4 linked regions of the Astyanax mexicanus genome follow. The protein of the gene in region 4 purifies or fractionates together with the protein of the main gene of each other region. This does not show direct contact. Links are inferred from orthologs where the notes say so. Each region holds a gene or a part of one and is shown on either strand. Other genes may lie near its edges. The genes, in order: gon4lb, wrap53, nap1l1 and histone H2AX.

What was found.
Region 1: the proteins of histone H2AX (region 4) and gon4lb purify together in Homo sapiens (affinity purification with mass spectrometry; 3 studies listed by BioGRID and IntAct, counting the BioPlex papers as one, with this or other methods). This does not show direct contact. The link is inferred for Astyanax mexicanus from reciprocal best matches to the Homo sapiens genes H2AX and GON4L.
Region 2: the proteins of histone H2AX (region 4) and wrap53 purify together in Homo sapiens (affinity purification with western blotting; 3 studies listed by BioGRID). This does not show direct contact. The link is inferred for Astyanax mexicanus from reciprocal best matches to the Homo sapiens genes H2AX and WRAP53.
Region 3: the proteins of histone H2AX (region 4) and nap1l1 purify together in Homo sapiens (affinity purification with mass spectrometry; 3 studies listed by BioGRID and IntAct, counting the BioPlex papers as one, with this or other methods). This does not show direct contact. The link is inferred for Astyanax mexicanus from reciprocal best matches to the Homo sapiens genes H2AX and NAP1L1.

What each region holds. Positions count from the first base shown.
Region 1 is NC_064413.1:41,387,082-41,395,021, forward strand, and holds the start of gon4lb (GON-4-like protein), read right to left. Parts: upstream 3,012-7,940; 5' UTR 2,920-3,011; intron 2,128-2,919; exon of another isoform or gene 2,045-2,127; intron 116-2,044; 5' UTR 103-115; coding exon 1-102. Other genes in the region: C2 calcium-dependent domain-containing protein 4C-like, read left to right, coding at 3,125-3,643, 4,692-4,889; npr1b (atrial natriuretic peptide receptor 1), read right to left, coding at 7,477-7,625. UniProt on the Homo sapiens protein: Has transcriptional repressor activity, probably as part of a complex with YY1, SIN3A and HDAC1. Required for B cell lymphopoiesis.
Region 2 is NC_064415.1:15,365,672-15,372,742, forward strand, and holds the start of wrap53 (telomerase Cajal body protein 1), read right to left. Parts: upstream 3,016-7,071; 5' UTR 2,799-3,015; intron 645-2,798; 5' UTR 439-644; coding exon 168-438; intron 1-167. UniProt on the Homo sapiens protein: RNA chaperone that plays a key role in telomere maintenance and RNA localization to Cajal bodies. Specifically recognizes and binds the Cajal body box (CAB box) present in both small Cajal body RNAs (scaRNAs) and telomerase RNA template component (TERC).
Region 3 is NC_064409.1:26,596,945-26,604,009, forward strand, and holds the start of nap1l1 (nucleosome assembly protein 1-like 1), read right to left. Parts: upstream 3,031-7,065; 5' UTR 2,887-3,030; exon of another isoform or gene 2,867-2,886; intron 481-2,866; 5' UTR 467-480; coding exon 450-466; intron 1-449. UniProt on the Homo sapiens protein: Histone chaperone that plays a role in the nuclear import of H2A-H2B and nucleosome assembly.
Region 4 is NC_064408.1:15,369,722-15,374,961, forward strand, and holds histone H2AX, read left to right. Parts: upstream 1-3,981; 5' UTR 3,982-4,077; coding exon 4,078-4,506; 3' UTR 4,507-4,709; downstream 4,710-5,240. UniProt on the Homo sapiens protein: Variant histone H2A which replaces conventional H2A in a subset of nucleosomes. Nucleosomes wrap and compact DNA into chromatin, limiting DNA accessibility to the cellular machineries which require DNA as a template.

The sequences.
Region 1 (7,940 bases), on a different chromosome or scaffold from region 4:
GCAGACACCATGGGATCCAGAGGCAGAATCCCTCCGGACAATTTTCGACGGAACTGCTAGAGGATCTGGGGAGCTGGACCTGCGTCCTCGGCCCGTTTTCATCTCGCTTCTGGAGCTAATATGAAACAGAGAATTACAAAGTTGCATTTGCATATTTCAAACATTCTGGTGGAGACTAAAATGGATATATTTATTAGTTGAGGAACTATTTAAAACCATAAAGATGTGGAAGAGAAATGTAAAAAACAGATTTTCCAACATTAGTGACATATTTATAACACAGAACAGAACAGAACAGAAATCATGTGGCTTGACTGGAAAATACACACATTAATTTTATTTACTGCAGGCTTCTGTTACATATGTGTATTCTTAATAAGCAAACCCAAACAACTACATTAATTAAATGAATAAAAAATCTAAAATGTAAAAAACAATAACTATTTTACTTAATTAACAAAAAGTAATAATAAGTGGGGGATAAAATAAAAGATGGGCTTTTTTAAATCATGGCCTATCTTCCATTTTATCTGAGGTAAATTAAACGTATTTATGCAAATACATACATACTCATAATAAATTATTTGCTATACATCAATAAGCCCCTATGAACAATTATATACATTACATATATAATGTATACATTATACATTATATCCTTAACCAGTTATATATCCATATACATCATTTTACATAATAAAGTGGAAAAATGATTAGCTATATTAGTTCACTTCTTCCAAATTATCACACATGGAAATGCGAGCGAGGTGCAGCAGGAGAGTATTTAGTCAAATAGCTGTTTGCTGCAAAAGACACACAGCAATGATTTCTAGCGTTTCCAAGCACTTTATCCAAAATTCCAGCACTTTTTAGACCTGGAAAAAACAACATTACAATTCAAGCATTTTCAAGGATTTCAAGCACCTGTATGAACTCTGCTACAGAGACTGGACAAGTTGTGTCAGCAATGGGTGCAATTTTGACAGATAGTTAGTTAAGGCATCTTATTGCCCAAGTTTGCACCAATTTAGAACACTGCAGTGCTTATTTCATTGCATGTAATGACAAGAGCTGTAGGGGAGTTAGGATAATTACCAACATATCCCAGAAATGCTGAACAGAGCACAACTATTTCAGGGAATACAGTTCCCCTGCACCACAGCTCAGTGCTGGGGGTTATATACTGTACCCCTTTGGCCCAAACCTATATCCTCCAAGCAGAGTCCTATTCTTTAGGCAACAGCTACTTATTTACAAGGACTAGAAATTTGTCGAGTGTGTCCACTGTGCATATCTGTGTCAGCAATGGATGCCATTTGGACATGTAACTAAATAACTTAGAAATGTCATTGCCCATTTTTGCACCAGCCTACCCAATGTAAACACTCCAGATAGAGCTAGAGTTCCTAATCTGTATATAGAATGCATTTTACAAAGCTAGCTAGAAAGTTGGGATAAAGTGCTGATATGCTGGGAGTCAATATGCTTGCTGGAAGAGCAGCTAGCTACACCCTACCTTAGCCAGAAACATTTACAGCTAAGCTAAGTTAGCTACCCAGCGAATAAAGGTCAATTAGCTCTAGCTAGCTAACAGAAAAAGCACAAAAACTGTCCGCTACATCGTCCAGCTAATGATATAACCTACGGTAATTATATCCTAACACAGTGAGACACTAAATAGTAGACACAGAGAATGTCTTGTAGCTAAACTAGTAGCTAGCTTAGCTATACTTTCCTTCTAATTTAACGACCTAAGCTGTAGGTATTGGTGTTAGCTAGCTTACTATCTCCACAGCTCCACTATGTGCTAGCGAGCTAACTAGCTAACTAACTGCAGTCCCCGGTAAACCACAACACAATACTTTAGCCGCATTCAGCTATATGGCTAACAACAGAGCTAGTTAGCTTAGCCAGCTAACTAGACATTAACCCGTCTATATACGTCTTTCTACATATCTGTGCCCAGTAAATCATGTCACTTGCTGACAATTAAGTGCTTTTATTGATCTGTCTCTATTTAATTCACAATAAATAAAGCGCTTACCCTGAAACAGCTATATGTAGCCATCAGTAGCTAGCCAGCTAACGCACTAGCCAGCCGGTCCACAACAAACTGACGTTTCGCGGGTGATACCGAGCAAAAACCCTGTAGTCAACAGCTACCGCCCCCTACAGCCCGACGGCGTAATCAGACTCTGAATCTCTAGACCTGTCTGTGTAATACATTAATATAAATTAATTAAACATATGAATCTTAGTCAATCTTAGCTCAGACGTGAAAAAAACATTTTATTGCATACAGCAATAATAGCTATATGCTACAGCATGTTAAATATAGCATGTTACAGCTACTAGTGCATCTAAAAAATAATATAATTTAAAAATTACTTTATTTCAGTAATTCAGTTGAAAATGTGAAACTCATATTTTATATAAATGTATTAGACACAAAGTCATCTATTTTATTAGCCATTATTTCTTTTATTGTTGATGATTATGGCTGACAGCCAAAGAAAATGCAAAAATCAGTGTTTCAGAAAATTAATATTCAATTGGTACTTTTGGCAGTGTGAGCAGTGTGCCAAGTCCTGCTGGAAAATGAATTCTGCATCTCCATAAAAGTTGTCAGCAGAGGGAAGCATGAAGTGTTGTAAAAATTTCTGGGAAAACGATGTGCTGACTTTGGACTTGATATGACATGGCTCTCCAAACCATCTCTTTTTGTGGAAACTTCATACTAGACCTCAAGCAGCTTGGGCTGTGCGTGTCTCTCCACTCTTCCTCCAGACTCCGGGCCCAGTTTGTACAGTGTACAATCACACTTGAAACCCACCTAGGTCACATTTTATCCATGTGAGCCCCATATGAGAAAGCTGGCTGGGCCCTTTCCTATTACAGTAGACAAAGCATATTGCTCACCTTACGGGCGGAGTCCAGTTGTGGTGGGTGGAACTTGTTTATGTGCGTCACCAGCAAAGATGTACTTGAGCTTCATCAGTGCTGGTGGGACTTTTGTTAAGTGCGTAGAGTCCTTGATTAAGTTCTCAAATGAGTGCAGTGCCTAGTTTCATAGAGCTACAGAACACAACAGCTGGAAAGAAGCACCTCCATCCAACATCTGGACATGCCCGGACTGAGCATCTGCAGACCCGCAGTTCTGGTGGCTCCCTGCGCGGGGAGTTCAGCAGCTGCTAAACGAGAGAAGTCCCTCCAGGCTCCTCCAGGTCTCCAGGACGCCCAGCCGGTCGCTTCGCGGCACGTTTCACTGCGGGAGATGGTGCTGACTCCAGCCCGCGTGCCTCCCTTCACCATCCCGCCGCTGTGCGCGGTGACTCGGCCCGGGCGCTGCTCTGCGGGGGGCGGCTCTCGGCGCAACACGCTGCCGGCCTCAGCTCACTCTCTCCGGTATAACAGCCGCTGCTGCTGCCCGTTCTCAGCGCTCAGCCTCACGGACCTGGAGCCTCACTCATGCGCTCTGTCAGACCCGGGCACCAGAGCCGCGATGTCTCTGCCCCACCTGGCCAAAATCACCACTCCGTACGGCTTCATCACCCTGGGGGAGAGCCCCTGCGTCCGCCGCCGAGAGTCGCTGTTCTTCCAGGAGAGCCAGACACAGCCTGGAGCTTCACAGCAGCAGCAGCAGGTGGGTTTCCAGATGTGAAAACAGCTGCATTTACAGCCTAATTAATGTTAATTATGTTTCTGGGTATTAATCACCAGGAGTAGTATTTGTCATTTGTAAAAAATAATAAAATAATTAAAAATAGCATACAATAAACGGTTTGGTTTAAAAAGTTATTACAATTACTTATTTATTTCTTAAAAAGAAAATTGCAAATGAAAAAAACAAATCTACAAAAATAAATAAATACATAAATAAATGTGTATTTTTTCCTGCTAATCCAATTTATGGTATATCCACTTCAGGGTGACTGACTTTAATGTCAGTCAGAAAAATACTGTTTGTTTCTAGAACTTACTTACACTTTTTTATGTTTTTTTTTTCTTTAATGCTTAAAAAAACAAAAAAAGAAATTAGATTTACTAAAACTAAACATGAAATGAATAATAATGTTCTGCTAATTTATAGTACATCCACCTCAGAGTGTTTTTAATGTCAGTTCATATTTGTTTCATTCCAAAATCCATAAAAATGCTGTAATTATTTAGTGCTTAATAAAATACAAATAAATTACATATTTACAAAAGCTAAACATAAAATAAATAGTTTTCTGCCAATTTATAGTATGTCCACCTCAGAGAGACTTTAATGTCACAGTTTAGAATTGTTCGCATTATTGGAATTGAACCAAACCAACCCCCCCCCCCCCCACACACACACACACACAAAAACAATATGTACAACTCGGATCTAACATGAATTAAAAATCTAATAGAATTGTTGTACATTTAATTTTTTTTTCTTTTATGTTTAGAAGAAAAAAAAAACTACATTTTAAAAGTATTGTTCTGATATATCCACCTCAGAGTGACCTCAGAGTGATTAAATAATTAAATTAGTAATAAACACATAAATCTGTTTTCCTCATTGGTAATAACCTTTTCACAATGATTAATTCATTATTATCCACCAACATTAAAAAAGGGAAATGTTATTAGAAGAGTGCATTCAGTATTGCTGATTTTACTATATTTTAACAGGATTTGTCTTTCTGTTATTTGTCTTACAGTGTGTGAAATCTAAGAGTGAGTCTTCCTTGCAGTCCTGCAGTGTAGCAGCATGCTGTATTTCATCTCTCCAACAAGAAAATTACCTCTCTACTTCACGTGACTGTTCAAAGCCTCACAAGTGCACACACCGTTCCAGCAGTTTTTCAACGAGGAAAGAAAAACTGAAGTATTTCCTGAAGAACCGCTTCAAAGCATAAGAGCCAATTCACTTCCAGAAACTTCCCTGAAATGACATTCACACTAAAGAAGTCCCCCTGATAATTACAGAGATATACTCCATCAAGAAGAAAAAGGCCCTTGAAAAAGCAGAATGAGCTGATAGTGAGTGGAAAATTAAATGATGAGACTTGGAGTGAAGGTTAACCAGTTCATGTATCAAAATACACATTGAATTACTGTTGGTTGTGATATGTTATTATAAGGAGGCACCTACTATATATATATATATATATATATATATATATATATATACATACATATATATATACATATATATATGTACTCCTTTTATGGTCCTTTGGTGATTCATATATGATGCAAAAACAATAGTCACCAGTGGGATAACACAGTTTGCTGCTGTTAATCTTAAATATCATTTTTATCTTTTTCATTGCTTGTGTTATTGTATTCTGACTGTAGTCTCCCACTGGTCACATATTTCTGACAATGAATAAACCATAATTTCATGAACAGTGACAGTTTTCAGGCCTGTTGATTGCCACATGGCTCCAAGTAAAGGTTTGAAATTGTATGTGACCATATTCACACTAAAGTAATTAAATTTACATTGAGTTTTACTGAGATCAAAAACTCACAGAGATGCAAGTTTTTAAGAATGTATTTATAAATGTTTGCAGTTGTGTGTAATAAATTGTATTGTATTTATTATAAAATAGTATATTTCAGTAAAAAATGTGTATACATTTACACAAAACACAAATCTGTGTCCCATTTTAATTTTGTATCCAATCTTATAAAAAACACATACCACTATAATGACAGGGCCTGCAATTACACCATCTTATTGTATCTCATAATTAATCACTGATGCTAATATTCTGTTATGAACTGACATTGATCTCAATGCAACATGGATTGCTTATTACATTTCTTAATTAATAATTTCTTAATAGTAATTCTCAATATACTCACTTTATTTGTCTGTTTGATACTAGTGTCATTTAGAGGGACTATTCTCTTTCTGAGTACCTGTCAATACAATGTATGTCATACAGGGGTTTAAAGAATTCAAGTGTTTTGCAATATACTGTGATGATGCAAGAACAACAATATATTGCAGTTTTTAAAACTCAAATCATAGGAAAACTGTATTAATAGATAAAACACAACACATAATTCTTGACAATCAATTTAGTATTGGGACATTTTGATATTAGTATTATCTTACCCCTACTACAAACGAGTTCAACGACCGCAATCTAAATCCACAACAAGGTGCCTTTTAGGAAAGCACCTAACCTCCATCTCTCCTGGTGTGTGTTTTTACTACTGTAGTTAACCGTGTGTGTGTGTGTGTGTGTGTGTGTGTCACAGATGGATTAAATCTTAAAGGTACTACTGTCCAAAGGCTGTAAAGTGTCCTTCATTGAATGTAACCTTTCTTGCCTATTTAAAGATATTTTTTGCCCCAGATTTGTTATAAAATCACTCATACATTTGTGGAATTGAACAGCATTTCACATTTTTATATAAAAATCATATGACAGTTTGCAAAAACAACATAAGTGTTTTAGATATTTTTTACAGAAATATAATCTAACATCCTGCTAACCCACTCTCCCGAATGCTCCCATAGTTACAGTTATGTGTACATTTCAAATAAACATAGAAAACAGACATAGCAAACATGGCAAAATCAAACCACAGGGAATTTCCACTGTGCTACGTTTCAATATTTCCAAATGATAGATTCTTCAAACAAATATATATAGCTGCACTTTTTCCTTCTAGATTTAGACCTTTAAGAGTTATCATAACCTTTGATCTTTGATGTTATTGTGCCTCAATCTGAAGGTTTCTTAGAAACACCCAATCTACAGGAACTCATCTTTTAAGTTATTAAGGATGAGTCCACAAGTTCAGAGCATCATTAGTCAGTATTTACAGCCCCAGCAGTATAGCATAATGAGAATTAGCATTAAGAGGTTTAACAGCTACATAGATGCAATGTGTGCTCAGCATAGGTGAAGATCTACTGTGCAAAGACTGTGCACAGGTTCTGTACCTGTTAATGTTAGAAGAAAATCATGATTATTTCACCATTACTTCACAAAATTTAATTAGGCCATTACGCTGGTTCAATCGCTGCCACTTTAAACTTCAGTCACACTCTTATCAAACAGCCACGATGCTCTGTGGATCTTAGTTTGCACCATCCTCTAAAACAAATGGGAAACACAGCTACTACAGCATGGGACTAATGAGAGAGAGTCATGAGTCTAGTCATGATTTTAAAGCAGTGGGATTACATGATTTACAAGATTACATTTCAGCTGGAAACATGGCCTCCCCTTCCTTTTCGTGCTCTTTATAACCAACAGTGAGAATGACAGTGAGGGGTGTTCATGGCATACAAATATCCTAATGTCTCTATCATCACACAAACCACAGTTCTCCAGACTCCACCAATGTGTCCTTCTGGAATGCAAGTGAAGGAGTGTGCAAAGGTGGACAGAAGCCCGGAAGTTGTGATAGTGGTTCTTTACGTGTGTTCAGGTGGTCCACTAGTGCACTGTGTGGGTTCAGCTCAGCACCTGGTTCCGCTCACTCGCTGCTCTTACTCTCTCCCAACAGCCAGTAGGTCCTCATCTTTCCCTTGCCCTTCATCTCCACATCTCCTCTCAGTTCTAGCTGAAAGCAGTTGAACTCCTGCAGAATGTCATGCGATGCTGAGGATACGTGAATCTTCAGAGCTGCCAGAAAAATGCCAGAAAAAGGTTCTTATTAATGCACAAGGACAGCACTGAAAAAAATGACAACTACTAGGCAGCGAAGTGATAATTTTTTTTTTTTTTTAGATTAGGCAGGTCTTTCGAACTGTTCCCTCTATGCAGTGGTCAGTACCTAACAAAACTGGCCAAGGAAAGACAATCGGTAAAACAGGGTCACTGGCCCACATACAGATCCTCACAACATACAGGACGCAAAGGATCCACTGACAACATCTTCAGTGTAATTGATTAGAACTATTTTATTGGTATGAGGGTGACCTACACAATATTAGGCAG
Region 2 (7,071 bases), on a different chromosome or scaffold from region 4:
AAAATCTATTTAGGTCATTTAATATATTTAACAAGAAACAAAGTCAAAATTAATTAAAAAATCTGGCCTAGTGCTTCATTTTGTTTGGTTTCTGTCAAAAATAAATAAATAAATAAAAATAATCAGTGCATCCCTAATTATAAGACCACACAGCAGAAGAAGCTCACCTTTGTCTGTGATCAGAACAATGCCTTGATTCCCACCATCATCAAATGTGGTATCTACACCTGTATCAGTTGGACAAATGTCCAACCCTACTCCTTCAGCAAGACGTGGCTGCTTGGCAGCAGGCGGTACCGCCTCCTCCTCTGCCTCCTCCTGAGCTCCACTGATGGGCAGATTCTGTGAACCTTCTTGAGGAGGCTCTCCATCAGCTTCTGCTTCCTGCCCTGCTGCTCCCAAACCCCCACCTTCACTACTCTGCCCTGGTTCCGACATATCAAGAACTTTCTTTTATTTAAAAAATATGTGCTGCTTTTCTTCAATACGGCTCGTGTGCAAAAGATTTTCAAGACGAGTGGTTTAATTCTCCGTCCCGTCTGTCAAATTGAAATCAAGTAGGTGCTACTGGGGTAATGTTTCTTGCGACGGTGGTTTGATCGTACTCTTAATGGCACTGGGAACATCACAGCAAAAGCAAGACCCTGGCGACACAAGAAGGAAAGAAAATCACAGCATTATTAAAAAAGTAGAAATGGAAAAAAATACATCTAAAACTATAAACAATGATGTTCAAACTATTTGAAAATTTTAAACATAACTGTATCAAGACTAGATACCAGTAGATACCAGTTTTAAATTAAACAACAACTCTGGTAAGTACTGGTAAGATGTTGCCATTCTTTACTTTAGTTAGTTTCTTTTTCAATGCAAGTGGTAGAGCTAAGCTACTGTTTGATTGGCTAATAAATGTATATTCTGACGGACAGACAATAGATCTCAGTCTTGGTTAAGTGCAAGAATACACAAGAAAGAAGGAAAAACAATGTCCACTGCAAAGGACAGAGGGTCTGAAAGTGAGGGGACAACTTATAAAGCATTAATTTACAAAAAAAACAAGCTGTACTATTCTTTGGCTATGATTAATTATCTCGTTCCCACACCTTAATAAATCGTGGTCATGCCTTAATTATTTAGTTTTAACATGATGTCACCTTATGCTGACCTTTTTGGACAATTTTTAAGCGATGTCACTTTCACAGACGAATTTCCAGAGTCTGGACAAAATCATGAGTCTTGCTAGAGTGGAGTTGCGGTCACGTCATCTCAATGGTTCAGTGTAAGGTGGTTAGGGATGAAAGTGTTAGTCAGTCTTTTTCTCTTCCTGATGTTAAGATAAAATCAACCATGTTTAATATTATCGTAAGCCTTGAGACTCGGCTCACAAAAATAGTGATGTCAACAATCAATAGGAGAGCTACAGGAAGCCGCAGGGCAAGAATATTTTATGTGACTGTTTACAAACGATTTGAAAAAGAACACATTTTGCAGTTAATTTGCCTTACTTTAATATGTACATTATTTTAAACACAGGTGGCACTTTTTGCACAGTTATTTTATTTGTGCAGTGATATTTGTGATACAAACAAGTTCAATAAATACAATTTTTGCAAGGATGGTGTTCTTTAGGATGGTATTTGCATTAATTCTACCTAAAACAAAGACGTATAGCAGTGAAAGTGTGATTCTTTGCTAGACAAGGTTGAAGCATAAAAGGGGAAAAGAAGGGGCAGAGGCATGTTCTCCTCCACCAGTCTTACACACTGCTTGTGATTATCAATCTTCCTCTTGATTATATTCCAGAGATTTATATATATATATATATATATATATATATATATATATATATATATATTCCAGACAATTTGGTAAATTCAAGAAATCATTAAGTGTTCTCTTTTTTTTTCTCCCCAGAGCTGTGCATACAAAATTTTACACTCATTACTAGGCATTATAGTCGGCTATGCACTTAAATTAGTTAATAAAATAGTTGAATTAGTTGCAAATATCAATAATTTATCCCTGAGGTACAGGATGAAGCTCTTAAAAAAATGAATGATTAAGAAAATTATCCCTAAACTAAGCAAAATAATCTAACACTTAAGCATAAAATGGGAACAGAAGTTCATAGGCAGAGTTGAACACAAAATGCATTATATTAAAACAATTAAGAACCAACAGTGTGACAGAAAAATAAACTGTTGATGGGGACAAAAGTTGTGAGTCTATATTTAATATATATTATGTGTATATAAAACTCCACCAGAAGCATGATGGGAAATAATCTTAGAAAGAGAATCTGTGCAAAATCGTAGCCTGTAAGTAAAAAGTCTGTGTCTTGTCTTTAGATGTGAGAGAATTTCAGACTTTAGCCTAAAGTCTTTTCAGAGTCTTTTTTAAAGTCGTGTAGTGTATGGACAGCATAAGGGGCTTCATAACTTGCTGTATAGGATTTACGACAAAACTGTAAATAACCCAGATAATCAGATTAATGCACAAATACAGTATTATAGCTGTTAGCTTAAGTCAAATTGGTAGCTGAACAGTGAATATTAGCCTAGCTAATGTTTACAGGCCATTTAACATTAGCTTGCTAGCGTTAGGTTAACTAGTTAGCTAAGGTTAGCTAGTTAACTGTCACAGCAGTACTAGCAGCTCAGACTATCCTCTCAGCAGCTGTATTTATTTATCTATCTATCGGCGGGTGTGGGTATAAATGTATCAGCACGCTGTACAGAGTAAAATACTGCAGCAGTTTAATGTTTTTAATCAGAGTTTAGCTCCAGCCTGGCTGTTACCTGTAGTTCTGCTCCGCTGCTTCCTCCAGCCGTGACTTTCTGAGGATAGCTCTGCTGCCAGCAGTTAAACTCGCTCCCACAGCTGAACCTGTCCCTATAACAACACGAACAGCAGAGAGTCCCGGGTTTAAATCACACACTACGGCCTGAATCCAGCAGACACTCGTGCTGCGTGTTTACACACGAACAGACCCGCCATATCAGCAATATAAACACCGCCAGATATCGCGAGATCTGTGAGTATTTAACAGCGCTGTAATATCAGACTCAACCACCAGAGGTCACTCGCGGACCATCGCTCACAATCAGGCAAATCGTGGGTCCAAATCTGAATATTATTGAAAAGTTACGTTATTTTAGTAATTCTATTAAAAATGTGAAACTCATTTGTTATATAGATATATTACACACAACAGAGTGATCTATTCTAACCATTTATTTATTTTATTGTTGATGATTATTACAGAAAATAGAAGGTTTCAGTGTAACAATGTAACATATTTTTTCATTACCCCTAAACAACTTAAAAGTTCTTTACTTTTAATTATTTATATTGTATATATTGTAGTGTTTATTTTATCTATTTTTATCTATTTATTTTTGCATCTCATCTCATCATTTACAGCTAATGAAAATCCAAAAGTAAGTATCTCATATTATACAGTTCTGGAAAAAAAATTAAAAGAAAACAATGTTTATTTTCCCCAAACATATACCTAAAAATAGCAACATCAGAAAAACTGATTCAGAAACTGAAATGGTTCAGATTTTGCCATCTATAGGTATATAGTAAATAAACATTGTTGTTTTAATTTATAAACTATGGACAAAAATTTTTCATTCCAAATAAAAATACTGTTAAGAGCATTTATTTTCAGAAAATGAGAAATGGCTAAAATAACAAAAAGATGCAGAGCTTTCAGATCTCAAATAATTTTATATTATAAAGTTTTAAGAAAGTTTTTTTTAGAAATCAATATTTGGTGGAATAACCTGTTTTTTAATCACAGTTTTCATTCATCTTGGCATGTATTCCTCCACCAGTCTTACACACTACTTGTGATCATCAATCTTCCTCTTAATTATACTCCAGATTTATATATTTTATATATATTCCAGACAATTTGGTAAATTCAAGAAATCATTTTTAAGTGGTCTTATATTTTTTTTTTCCAGAGCTGTGCACACAAAATTGTACACTCATTACTAGGCAATATTTTTTAGTCGCACTTTAATTTGTTTAATTAGTTGCAAATATCAATAATTCATCCTTGAGGTACAGGATGAAGGTCTTAAAAAAAGGCTCTTTAGTGAAGGTGATTTTTTTAACATAATCAATCAATCAAGTCTTTTTTAAAAAGGTTTACAAAATGTAAATGATAAAACAACAAGGCAACACAAGTCTGTATCCTTAATAATAAGCATTTATTTAGTATTCGTCTTCTTTTTCAAACAAACAAAACCCCAAACTATTTACACGCTGATTAATCAGGACATTACTACTTTGTTGCTAACATTTTCAGTATTGACTTCAGAAAAGTTTTATCTGACTCGTTTAAAAGTTTAGCTACAGGGCTAAGCTGACAGGTAAGAACGAAAAGGCAAATGAACATTTTCTTATCTCCGTTACTGTTAATGTCTTGACATGAGCGGCATGAAAGGAGATTCAGATTCAATACTGATTTTGTCATCGCCCTTTGCATAAAACCAAAATATGGGAAAGAAAATCATCCATAACATGAAATGTTTTTGGGAAAATGTAAGATGTTTCTACAGTCACTACCATTATGTGTTTGGAGTAGCATTAGCTTAGATAACAGATTTTGTTCACATTCTAATAAAGCCCACAGTCAACAAATATACCATACAGTCCAGATTTTAGACCTGTGTCTAAGCCTTTTTCTTGCAAATACATGTAATGGTAATGATGACTCACCCCAGTTAACCTATTGTCATTATCAAGTCTTAAACTGCCTGGTTTGAAACTTTTGCCACAATAAAAATATGGGACTGCATTTCTACGAGCCCTGTAGTCACATCTACGACCTGCTGACTTGGAGAGAGTTGGAGAGAATCTAAAATGTAGAGATAGTCCAGGTAACGTTAGAAAGACAATGCACTTCTTATTAAGAGCACTGCCACACTGTAAAACCTGCATGCAGTGCAAAACCTCGTTACACAACCTGCACTTACCTACAGAGCAGCGCAAATGTACAAGCAGACTAGGGTCTCCAAATAAAGTCAGACTCCAGGGTTAATTACACTGCATTATCTAATTAATTCTAGTACAGAATAAAAAAAGGATATAGGGCTTTGCAACTGTGCAATGCAATGTCCCATACTATTCAGTCAGATTTTGTCTGAACAGGTTACAGTAAGTCACGTCTTTGCATGTGTTTAATTTAGGGCTCAAATGGTTCATTTTTTTTAATCTTCTCGATTAGAAGCAAAGCTTTGATTTTTCTCATTAGAAGATTTTTTAAAGAGCTGTTTAGGCAGCACTGAAGTAAAAGAATGTTGAGCTAAGCCTGGTCAACACATAATTTTTCAATCTTTAAGTAGAGGCTTGTCTGTACAGTTAAGGCATGTCTGAGGAAAGAAAAAAAGAATAATTATCACCACACCCAACAGAAAAAAGCAAAAGTCATGTATACACAGTTTACAGGGCAGCAACTTGCCATGAGTATGTAGTCTTTGTATACATCTGTATTTTTGTGTACGAGTTGGTGTTTGAATACAGTTCAAACCAATCAAGACAGCAGTTGATGCAAGTAGGGTTGTGTGAGATTTGAGTATCTGATGATCATGCAGCGTGTGTGCTGAACATGCCCGGCCATGTATGCAGCAGGGCCGGGGCATACAGCTGCATTACTAGTCTGTACAGGTTTTAACTGCCATAGTTCTGTAGTTCCAGTATCCAGAGGCTCCACTCTTCCACTTATCCACTCCCACTTTCAGTCACCTGGAGCTAAAGCTACCTTTAGAGAGACTCATCTGTCGGTTTTCATTTAATAGCTGTTCTTGAAACGTAGTTTCATGGATAAAAGAGACGAGGGGTCCCCGCTTCTTTCCTGTACTGTCGTTTCGCTCTGTTCTGGAAAGGAGATGATCTCTAGGGTCAGCCTCCTCCAGCTTCACGTGTGTTAAGTGAGAGAGGGGTAAACAGCTGGTCAACATCCTGCTCTGGATCTCTGGAATACTGGTGTAGAAAGAAGAAAAGAGAGCAAGTAATCAGTTAAAACGAAAGAGGATCATCACAAATCAATATCAGACTGGAATTCCAAAAATGTTTTAGCATCATTTCAGCATCATAAAAAGGTTAAGAAGGAGGATCACAGTGGTTTATGTGGTTTAAGAAACTCCTCTAAAATGCATTAAAAATTAAAAGTGCTAATATACGCGAACAGTGAACGGTGCTGTAAAGCAAAGCATACCTTAGGAAATCTTCACTTGCAGATATTATTTATAGTGTAGACAATACACCAATAGTAAAACTAAAAAGTGTAAAATTGAATTGTTGACATAATATGAATATGTTGTTCTGAATCTGGAACTTGGTCTGGTCTGCATACTGTGTGAAAAAAAATTATACACATACCAATAGAAGTTCTCCAAAATGGCTATCAAGCATTTTTTTTATTTCCCAAATGTCTACTTAACAGGAATTAAAAACCTTCTTTTAGTATTTCAATTAAAGTCAATGTAAATAATGTAATTCCAAGTCATTTCAGAGCATTTCCATTGGTTCAAGTCATCAAATTTCTGTATAAAAAAAAAACGACCAAATTATAGTGATATGCAAAAAATTAATGAACGTAAAATTTCTCTCTAATCTAATTAATCCGAATCTTGCAACTGTTTTGTATGTTGTGTGAAAAATATGAAAATAAATATGCCTTAAAATGCCATAAAAACCTAAACTATGAATAGAAGTCAATATAAACAGTATATAACTTAGGAAAATTTATAATGGCCCATTTATTTAAAAAAAAAAAAAAAAAAAAAAAAAAAAAAAAAAAAAAAAACAGACCCTGCATTTTTATTTCAAAAGAAATGTAAGACATTAGCTTTTACTACTTGTTTTGGAATTTAAATAAAATGGCTCTGTGTATTCTTACTATTTTCATAACTAAGCAATAATCAACAACACGATGAAGGTGCAGCAGACAGAGATTAGCTTACAGAAAGTTAGAATTTTCCTTTAAAAGTCTACATGACATGCAAAACAAGTGAGAAAAATGCATTTATTACCAGACAGGCAGTTCTGCTGCAC
Region 3 (7,065 bases), on a different chromosome or scaffold from region 4:
TCACTACCATTCTGTCACATTTCCATCAGTCCTGGTTTATTTTAATATACTGCTTTTATCTTCACTGCAATCTATTTTTACTTTCTTTCTGGTGTATTCTTGTCTCTGATATGCTTCTCCAACAGTTTTCTTCTAGGATTCTCACACTCACACCCGTGTGTGTTTTTGGGTTAGCAGCAGGTGGACAGGGCCTGGCTGCGAGGCAGATGCACAACAGAGGTGGGCAAATAAGCTTTGGCACTAACTTCACATTGATAAAGGAACTACCCAATACCCACCAAATATCACCCTGGCACCCACCCCTCATTACCTGCTGTGCCTTTTTCAGTACCTACTGTCAATTTAGTATCCATTATGATTTATTTAGCATCTATGATAAATTATTTACAATATCCTGACGTGCAGCTCTAAGCTGAGGCATGCTGGGAATAGAAAGAAGCGGTACTTACTTGTCGAGATCGGCCATGTCTGTTTTTATTCCTGAGGAGAGAGAGAGAGAAAAAAGATTTTGGATCAGACATGACAGACAGTAAGTGTTTAAAGAGACTAGTCACTCTGGGCAGCAATTAGGCGACATTAGGTGCGCTTTCAGTCCGTTCCCAAACTACTTCTAGATCGGTTGTGATTGCAATAAGAAAACAATAAGACCTTGAATAAATTCAACTATCAGCTGTACTGGACAGGTTTAAGCTGGCATATCAGCACTCTTACCAATAAGAAGGGAGACATTCAAATGATTTTTATATTTTTATATAATCGCAGAAAATGTAAACAATCTACTGCACTACGTGTGTGGGGGGGGATGCATCTTCATCCATCTTTGACCAATGTCAAAGCAGCCAGTGAGGACCTTTTGTATTGTGTTTTTTCAGATGAGTAAGCTGTAATCTATAGTGGAGGGGTCCCATCACAGGCCAGGCTCTTTTGTGGAGCGCTATAATAACGTCATTCTACTGAAAGAGTTTTTAAGAGCTGAACTTTGCAAAATCCACCAGCGGCAAGGCACACAGACAGAGGCACACAGACAGAGGCACACAGACAGAGGCACACAGACAGAGGCACACAGACAGAGGCACACAGACAGAGGCACACAGACAGAGGCACACAGACAGAGGCACACAGACAGAGGCACACAGACAATACATGATACTTGCCCTCCAGGTCTCCTTACACACTTAACTATAAATCTGAGAGGTGAACGTTATTACTGCAGTTTAATATCTGAATCCTGTTTAAATGTCATTGTTGAATGGCAAAACAAATCCAGAAAAAAAATAAGCACCAGAATTATCTGCACCTTCTCCATAACTAACATGCCAGACCAAAGGTAGAGGACCTTAAATTACATTTCTGCCTTTTACTGCAAGTTTTAGAAAACAGTTACTCATAGTAATAACCTGTTGTGGATCTTATTTCTTACTTGTCTTCGTCAGAGTTGGCATACTCTGAAACTGTTATTTGTATAAGCTATATTAGTTATACTTATTTCTCACAGCAAATAAACTAAATAATAAACTGTAAATATGTTAAACCTGAACACCAAAAGCTGAGACCTTAGGTTTAGGAGCTGCTGTTGGGATCTTGATAGACAAACTGACACTGCATAAGATCTAAAAGCAACACAGCTCTATTCACTGAACTTTACTGAGTTCTTCCCCTTTAGCCTCCACAGAACCAAGCCAGGCCACGTGGACATCTTTAACGCCCCCACCACCACTAAACATTACCAAAGAATCCATCATTATATTTGGGTAGAATGTTTTGCTTACATTCTGAGACTAAAGCAAAGCCTATGCTTATTTTACACTGGTAATACATGGAACACATTACAAAACTAAACTCAGACTAAATCATAATCATAGAATCCAGACCTATGTATTAAGACCGTAGTGAGTGAAAACCCTCCTTTTACCACAGATATGCAAATGAGATTAGTTGCTGCCTACATTTAAAAAGCTGTGATGGATCAGAGCAGAACTGCAGCACAAAAGCCCAGCTTGTTTTCTGTGACCTCACAAATACACTCCATTCAAAACGAAAATGTTTCTCTTTCAAACATGTAGCTACAGATTTAAAATTAAACAGTAATACAGATGACCTCACAGCAGCCCACTCAGACACAGTAGCTACCACACTATTTTGGACCGCATGGGCATTAGTGGGCCTAACTGGCAAAAAGCAGGGCAACGTTTTATGACTGGACTATAACCGTCATTACTTTATTACTACTTTAACTCTTAGCAGCTCTAATTTCCCCATCACCACCACCTCCAAAGAGTGAGAGCAACCGCTGCCCCCTCGCCAAGACCGGCCGCGGCTCCACGTGTTTCCCCGGATGAGCCCGTTAGCACTGAGGCTAACCCCTTAACCCGGAGGGGGGACGGATTAAAACCAACAGCGAGAACTGCCGGTACCTGCCACTGTGGACCTACATTTCTCCGGTTGGGGGGTGTTTTACAGCTCCTTGTCGGCCCTACGAGCAGCAGGGGAGTTATTGTGAGTGATGTGGAGGAGCAGATTAAAGCAGCGACCCCGCGGTGTGTCTGAGGTAAAATAAAGATTTTCAGCTCTGTTACTCTCCTCAGCTCCAACACCGCGCCCGGTCGCCGCGGGAAGGACAAGAAACGGGGGGAGGAACAACCAGACAGGCGACACAGCCATAAATGCCCACAGCCCGCCTCACTAACACAACATCTAACCCGTATCTTACACCCGCGGGAACTCATTCCCTTACTTTCCGCGATACAGCCGCCTCTCCCCGCCCGCGTGTGGGCCGCGCTTCGTTAGCTTAGCATCACCATCAAACACATTCCCCCGCGGCTGCCATCGAGAGAACACGCAGTTCAGTGAGCCACGGCGAGCTCACCTGCTGCTGATCCGGTGTACCGGCGGGTGCGGGAGACTCTGTAGGCGGAGATGAAGCGGTCTGAGGCGGGACTGTGAGGCCGGGACTCGGAGACTCTGCCTCAGCCTGCTGGATCTGCGTGTCTCTCTCGCGCCGCTCTGATGGCGGTAAAAAAGGGAGCGCGCTCCCGCCGCGCGCGCTCATATAGCGTCATCACGCAGGGCGGCAGTCACCGGGGTAACGCCGAGCCAATGGGGGAGGCGACCGGTCGATGTTCCCGCCTTTCCCGCCATGTTGTTTCTGAGGAGAAAGTTGTTAAAAATGGGGTTTTCTGAACTATGAGACAGAAAGTAATGCCATTTCAGACTGATAGTCAGGGGTAAATTACTCAAATACTCACTCAGAGGAATCAAATGTTGGAGAAATAACACTTTATCACTGTATATTAAGATTTAAGCTTATAAAAAGGCCAATAATCTGAAACATTGTAGCTAGTCTCTACACTGAATATATAAAACTACATACCAGTCTTAATTCATTGTAACCACACCCCCTATATTTACATAAACCCCGCCCGCTGTAGAAAGCCACAGGTAGTCAAGGACTACACTTACTTCAGGAGAATAATGTTTGTGGTGAGTAGCTGACCACATGTCACACGTTGAGGCTAAAGTAAAATACGCTGTCAAGTAAGAATAATAAATAGAATATAAGATAATTGCATTGATTTTGTTGTGCTATATGGGTCATGTGAGTTGTAGTTATGAAATGTGGGTTATGTAGTAAATGTTTTACTTGAAGGTTAAAGAACAGGCTGATAAAATGGTTTGTGTTGATGGTTTCTGGCCTAATAGTAAACGTAAAGGCAAAATAAAACCAGTTTACAGGTTTGTAGGTATAATTTAGCATGTAAATGAAATCCAGATTACTACTTAATGTACTAAAACTCTACTGTATTGTTTTCACTTTGACTCATGTGAGGTTTCTCCTCCACTGCTTCAAACACGGGGAACCAACATCTGACCACAACCAAACTGTAAAACATCTCCTTAAGACTATTTTATTGTTTAGAAACAAACTAATAAATTGACCTGTGCCAAACTTTCAGAATGTTTTAAAGATATATTGCATTTTTTTATTATTAGCTGTATTTTAGCACCAATTCTTTTTTTCACTTCTGTTTACGAGACTCCACTTGAGCAAAGGTGTAAAATATACTACTGAACAAGAGTTTTTCTGTTTTACTCCTCATATTAGATTTAGATAAATACAAGTCAGTATACAGTTTCTGCACTTTAAGTTAGACTTTTACATAGATATATACACACACTGACCATAAACATTAGAAAGGTGGTGCTATAACTGGGTGCAGTAATAATAATGATCCCCAATATTATATCCTCTAACTTAACCCCAGGATCAACTCTAAAATAACTCTACCATAATTTTTAAGATAACCCTTAAACCCACTCTTAAAATGGAAATTCCAAGAATATCCACCAGTTTAAATGGCAGCACCTGCATGGAAAACTAACCTCCCTAAATTAATGATGAAAGCAGTCGAAAAATTGTCTGTTTTACTAAAAGGCTACAGTAACTGGATTGAGGGTTATGTGCACGACGTGGAAGGTAGGTAATTGCCTTTGTTTGCTGTATTGAAAAACTTGTGTGTTTGCAAGCTAGTTTATAATTTACAGACTAGAAAAATACCTTGTAGATTGTCTAACTGTCTTTACAGGCTTCACTGAACTATCTGTGCAGGCAAATAACGAAGAAACACTCTTTTGTAAAGTGTCAATAATAATATCAAATCATACATAAAATAAATGACCATTAAATGCCAAATACAGTCCAGCTAATCATGCAAGTGTACACTCTTGTAAGACCAGGATACCCACGGTAGCATATTAACTAACTAGCTAAGATGGCTACTCTAAAGATACTCTATGGCTTGACTACCGCTACCCCCCCACTCGTGTTCACATTAGCAGAGAAAATAGAAACATTCATGGTCAACCCACAGACCAGCTCCAAATACCTACAACCGCTGTGCATCATTCAACTATTCAGCACACTTTGTACAGGGTGAGGCTGTATGTAGTCACTTGAGGTATGCAAAAGCACATTTGGACAAGCCAGGTTTACTTTGGGGCTGTGTGACTAGTGCAGGTACTGGGAATCTTGGTAAAGTTGAGGAACGCATGGATTTCAGAAAATATCAGCAGATTTTTCAGAACAATGTTTAAGATGAACAGTACAATATTCTGGAATGGCTATCTCAGTCCCCAAACCACCTGAATAATATTGAAAATATGTGGTGTGATTTAAAGTGTGCTGTTTATGCTCAGAAACCATCAAACCTGACAGAACTGAAGATGTTTTGTAAAGAAGAATGACCCAAAATACCTTCAACAAGAAGCCAGACTCTTATTGAAAGCTATAGGAAGTGTTTAGAAGCTGTTATTTCTGCAATATACTAAATCATGATGTATTTTTTCTGTTTGGGTGCCCAAATGTATGCATCTGTCTAATTTTGTTTAATTATTGCACACTTTCTGTAAATCGTATAAACTTCTTTTACTTCTCAAATTTCACTGTATTCATCTGCTACATATGTTTCACTGAAATTACTGATCCAAACAACTAATGATTTATAAAGGAAAATCATACCACTGTATATAAAGCTTATGTACTAAAGTGGTAACTTAAAGTGTAATTTATTTCTCTTTATGTATTATTACTTTTATTTATTTTTATGTAAATCAACTTATAAATGAACTGATGGAGCTAGGAGAGTGTATATGAGTGAATGTGCGAGTGAGTGTGAGTGCTGTATCAGCAGGGTCTTTATGTTCCAAACTGAAAAAGTTGCTGCAGTGTCACTCTCATTCAGCACTCGGATTAACTCTGCATTACAGCAGTCTGACACACACACACACACACACACACTCTCTCTCTCTCTCTCTCCTACTACAGAACTTAGGGGCCATTAACCTACAGAGAATGAGAGATCATTACCCCTTTTTTCATCTATCAGTTTTTCTCTCTCACACACACACACACACACACACACACACACACACACACACACACACACACACACACACACACACACCGTATCTGATAAAGATGCTCCAGTATCTCACAGTGATGAGAGATGGTTGTCTGAACCTGACAGAGCAGCATTTCATTTGATTAATAAAAACTAAAGGCAGAAAGATCCACAAACCAACAACTGAAAACAGCTGAAGTAAAGGCCTGGCAAAGCATATTAAAAGGTAAACCCAGTGTTTGGTGATGTCCATATGTTCCAGACTTCCAGTGGTCTTTGCCTGCAAAGGATTCTTAACAAAATGTTAAAAATTAACATTGTATTTATGGTAAATTTAATTAGCTAATTTTTGTTTAACCCCTTGAATGAAAGTCTACAGTTGCATCTCATTTGTTTAATTTTAAATCTAATAAGGTGACATGCAGAGCCCAAATAAGGGAGCTTGTTTCAATTTCCAAATATTTCTGGACCTAACTGTACACCCAATCCAGCCCAACTAATTTTACTTTTATATACACAATGCAACCCAACCCAGTCTAATCTTTTATACCCAAACTGATACACCAAATGCAGTCTAACCCAATCACGATGTTGTCACTGACAGAAGAATGAGATGGATGGTTGTCACTGTTTATTGATTATTAATTGGTGTTACAGGTGATTAACATACAGGAAGTTAATCCTTAAATACAAATACATCATCATTAACCGTGTAGAACAGAGAGATGCAGCGCACACTGTCCAAGTGACAACAGGACACACACACACACACACGCACACTCTGTGGTCGGTGGGTTAAAACGCGTCTCTAAGGCTGATTATGGCACAGTCACTCACGCAGTAGTGAAAAACAACCAAAATTAATAAAAGTGGAAAAAAACTTAAAGCAGGCTCCACCCATCACATGCCCCTTCTAAGTCCCACCCATGGCATAGCCCCACCCAGTCTCTCCCAAGAACCCCGCCAACCATAGCCACTCTAAAAAGGCACATTAATGATAAATCTGAAGTTATTACTGGTGTGACCACATTCAAACCTCTAAAACACGCACACACAAAACAGATAAAAGACACATGTGATATGACGACAGTGTCTAAAGCATTTGTGTAGAAAAACGTTAAGTAACTCATTCCTATATTCCTCCCATTTGGCTTTAACTGATAATATT
Region 4 (5,240 bases):
CTGTCGAAAGAGTTTAGGGGCAGCTAGAGCATTTGGAACAGTTCATTTGGAACAAAAGGAAAATTGTGCTTCTTGAACAACTTTATCCTACAGAGACTTTTGGGACACGCTGGGAATATTTTTGACCCTTTGTGTTCGTTGTACGTAGGTATTTGACGCAAACAGCAGACGCTGCTTTATGAGAGTGAGGTAGATGCCTCACGTTTTGTTTAGTGCTGGAATCGCAAAGAAAAATGGGGGGGGGATAAAGGGATTTATTTGTGTTCTTCTGAAAACACCTTTTGATTGTGTAATGTATAATGTTAAATAAGAGACTTAAAATGGCTGCTTAAGTGGAGGAGAGGAGGTGGGTGAGTTGAGAAATAGTGGTTGAGTAAAATGCTGTAAGACTTGTTCAGCACAAGGGGGCGACATAAACCAATACTTATCAGAAAGCCTCCCGCATTATGTTGCTATTCGTTTGTTTGTTTTGTTTGTTTTTTACTATGATTACTATTTATTTAATTTTCATCAGTTGCACACTTTTGAAACTCTTTTCTGATTGTTTACAGTGGTGGGGAGATCTTCTTCATCAGTTTTATTATTTTTGTGTATTGTTTACTGTCACTGACACTAAATTATTCCTCCTTACCAAACCAAGGAGTCTTCAGTGGGTGAATTATGGTGAGGCTTATGCTGTGTGCTTTGTTGTTTTTGCTGTAGTTGATAGCGAGTTAGATCAACAGATATTTAAGCCCTGTTTTTTTCAAATTGTGGTTCTTCTTTGATTTACATTGTGGCACCTTCTTCTTTTATTATATTCATTTGTTAAAGAAATACACGAGTAGTACGCATATCTCACAGTTACGCTTGAGTGGAACAGAAATGGAAAAATAGACAAATTTAACTCAGATATGTTTATTCTTCTTAAACATTTCTAAAACTGATAATCAACACGTCTTTAAATCATGTCTAGTTAAAGTTACAGTAGGTTGGAAATGTATTTCAGGTTGAAAAAAAAACACCTCAGGGGATATCATGAACGGTTTCCACAAAATTAAATATATAAAATTTTTTCAAGACTACTCGAAGCTCGGACAAGCCCACACTTTATATTTCTTTAATATTTAGCTGCAATAAGATAACTCAGACTACCCTGAATGAATGGGGTCCCCTGCATGCATAGATGAGCAGACCTGAACGTGTAAATAATAGTGCTAACGTTTACGTTTTAAAAGTTTCACCTTCGATTTTGCATAAGAACATAAATAGGTGAAGGACGGCAGCTTAATTCAGCTTCTCATGGCTTTGGCTATTCAAAGGGAAATTATCTGACCACTCAAAGACCACAGCTTGATGGATGGTTCACTGATGTTTCAACATTTTTGCATAATTCAGTTTTAAGGTGTTAATGCTCAGTTGGAGTGGTTTATTGTGATGAGTATTATTCCAGAGAATCTTACTATAAAAAAAAATCCAAAAATAATCTTAACAACTAAATTAATGCATATATAAAAAATATAATATATGTTTAGGCCAAAAGCGTGGTTTAAAAATTGTGATATCTTTTTTATTATGGAGCTTTGAGGGACATTTTGAAAGCCATTCACCACCACTGTGGAAATTTCTCTAGAACAGCATATTTCCCAACAAACAAAATTAAATCATTCAGGTTAATGGGCTCTACGTGTTAAGAAAAACATATTGGGCGATATCAGGAAAACAAAAATACTCAAAGTTATGTCCATATATTATACAATGAGCTGAAAATGTAATTATTGTGAAAGGTCTACTTGGAGGCATTAAATACTTTGGATGCCCAGGTTTATTCACTACAATTATGAACAATTCTGACTCAATAAATTAATATAGAATGATCATTATCAGTTCACACCAAATATCAGTTCACACCAAACCACGCTGACACAGTTTGCTTACATCTTAATGGTAAAATAGGACAAAACATGTAGAAACATCAGTGGAATTCCAGTGTATAAATACAGTGCTGTGGTGTTTGATGGTGAAAGCTGGTTGATTTTGACCTGTAAGCTGTTTGTTTCTTATCCAGGCCAATAAAGTCATCATTGTCTTCTTTTTGACTCCTTAAATGACTTCCTTAAATCTTCCAGACAATGGCTTCAGGCACACACAGTCTATATTGCAGTGCATTCATTATTTTCAGAGGGTTGTTTGTAAATTAGCAATTTTCAGCTGAACATTTACAGGTGGGATCCTCTACTCTTTCTCCAGTCTTTTATCCCTTTTCCCCAAAAAGCCTGGAAAGCCTGAAGACCCCAACATTACACTGCTAGTAGGCCCAGAATGTCATTGTCTATGAAAACAGTGAGCCGCCTAAAGAGAAACAATGCCTCTCAGATATTTGATGCTTTATATTACTATGTGGCTACTTCAATGTTTAATTTATTCTGAATAAATTATTTTTGAAAATGCACTTGTCTCTGGTTTATTTTCTTCCAATCTGCCACTGAAAATAAGTTCTAAGACTTGCCTTGTTAATAAAGGTGTAAAATTTTAAAATAAACAATATATATTGTATTAGTTTGAGCTATCACACTGACATATAGTTCTTTAGTTACTATAAAAAAAAAGTTGCATGGCTGTCCAAAAAAATAGGGAACAGGCCTTCATTCATTATTTTTCTTGCAATAGAGATGGATTGATGTAGTGTAGTGTTGTGTTTAACAATGAATTTCATGTTATACCAGAGTTTGATTTCTTGGCTGAGCTAACACAACACACCAATAAAAGTCTTTAGACGTTATATATGTTTGTTTCTAAAAACTGGTCCTGATAGGAAAAGTATTGATACTAAGCTCTTTTTTATACAGTGCACTAAATATGCATTGTTTTTTTTTTAATATACTTTGTGGTGGAATTTTGACTGCAGTAAAAAATATGCAGAGCAGGAAGTACTACTGCCTCCTCTTTATACCTTTTTTTCTCACTATATCCCCATCCCCCTCTCTCTATCTCTCTGTCCATATACCCCCCTCTTTCTCCCTGTTTCTCTCTCCCCTACCCCCACTTCTCTCATTTACACAGACACACACACAAGCCATTTTGACTTTTTATAAAAAAAATATTTAAAAAAAGTATTTTTACATTAAAGTTTATGGATCTTAGCTTTTGTATTGAACCAAAAAATAAAATAAATATATTTTTAACATTTTATATGACTTATTTAATATATTTGACATATAAGTAAACTTAATATACGGCCTGCTTTTTTGTAATATTCATGTGATGAGGATTGCAGAAAATAAGTATTTTTAAAAGGCCAAGAACATTAATACATATAGACATACATGCATATTAGCTTTTGTATTTAATAAAAAATTGAATAAATATATATCTTATATTAATTGGTTATGTCATATATTTGATATAGTTTAAAGCAGTACATTTTAATGTACATCCTTAATTTTTAATAACCAGATGGTGGCACATTGACTTTGATGTGGGGTTATAAATAATATAAATATGCTTTCTGCTCCTTATTTCTTCATTAAAAAAACATTTTTAAAGTTCAAGAAGTGGATGGATATTAGTATATTAGTTGATATTGAATCTAAAAAAAATCTAATAAATATATAATATATAGGATGAGTTAAACTTAAACCAGATGTTTCTCATCATTCTGAATACTTTTACAATATAAAAATGCCTTTGTTGACTTTCCGCCAAAATACCTCGACTTAAAATTCAGAGGGAATACGTACAATTGGTTTGAATTTTCCGCTCAAAGTTGATGGACAGCGGGAGAGACCAATGGTAGCACAGTTAAACTTCGCCGCCCAACCAGAGTGCAAGATTGAACCGTAACGCTCTGATTGGTGTTTTACTTTGCGCTGATTATGCACAGCGGTTTTCAGCCAATGAGCGAAAACATCCTGTCAGGCTTTGATCACACGAGCCAATCCGTCCGCTCTCGGTGCGAGTTTGACGAATGGGAAGGTAGGGGCGGGCCTAAGCGCCCGTTGAGGCCTGTCCTTAAATACTGCAGCAAGTCCAACCCCACAACCAAACACCGATTTTTTTCTTCTGAAGCTTAAAGAAGTAAGCGAAGAACTTATCAACATGTCTGGAAGAGGAAAGACCGGAGGAAAAGCCCGCGCCAAGTCCAAGACCCGCAGCTCCAGGGCCGGCCTGCAGTTCCCCGTCGGCCGTGTGCACCGTCTTCTGCGGAAGGGTAACTACGCTGAGCGAGTGGGCGCCGGAGCCCCGGTGTATCTGGCCGCTGTGCTCGAGTACCTGACCGCTGAGATCCTGGAGTTGGCCGGAAACGCCGCCCGTGACAACAAGAAGACCCGCATCATCCCCCGCCACCTCCAGCTCGCCGTCCGTAACGACGAGGAGCTGAACAAGCTGCTTGGCCGCGTGACCATCGCTCAGGGGGGCGTCCTGCCCAACATCCAGGCCGTGCTCCTGCCCAAGAAGACCGGCCAGGCCGCCGCGAGCTCCAGCAAGGCGGGAAAGAAGGGGTCCTCACAGTCCCAAGAATATTAACTCAACAGAAATGGCGCGAACTCTGACTTGATAACACCTAAAAAACCAAAGGCCCTTTTAAGGGCCACCCATCTCCTCTGAAAAAGAGCAGATTTCACTCTGACTTTAACCTCCTTTACCTTCTATTTCCATCATCAGTCTTGTGTGGGTGTGTCTGTCTGTGTGCTTTTTATACGGTGAAAATAAACATGTCTAACTTGAAATTATTTGGGGTTTTTTTTCTGGACATCCTTGTAGCCAAAACTTGTTTCATTCATTTTTTGTTTAGCTAGGTTTGCTAACTAGCTAGCTACTGTGCAACGTGCCGTTTGGCGCTAGCTGATAGCATAGCCTCTCTGCTAAACTAGAATCTGAAAGTGTTGTACTGTGACTAAACTAAATGTCTTAATTTGACGCAAGGATCGCTTTAATACAGGCTTAAGTTGGCTAACAAAGCATGTAAATCTGTTATTTAATGATCATCCAGCTCCTTGTACATTAGAAACTGTAAGCTCTCCAACTAGATAACGTTAACCTATAAATTGTAGTGCAAAAGTGGTGAAAAAAACCCATGATTAATTATAAATAAGATCATTAGATTTTAATCTAAATATTAATAACGTTACCGAATTCATTGTGAATCTGCCTGCATGCTGACGCACAGTCTGAAAACTAGTGTAGCTGTAATTTATTGTCTTAATGTAAGTAAGCTCTCAAGTTAGGGACAAGTTGTAAAGCAAAAGTAGTGGGGCAAA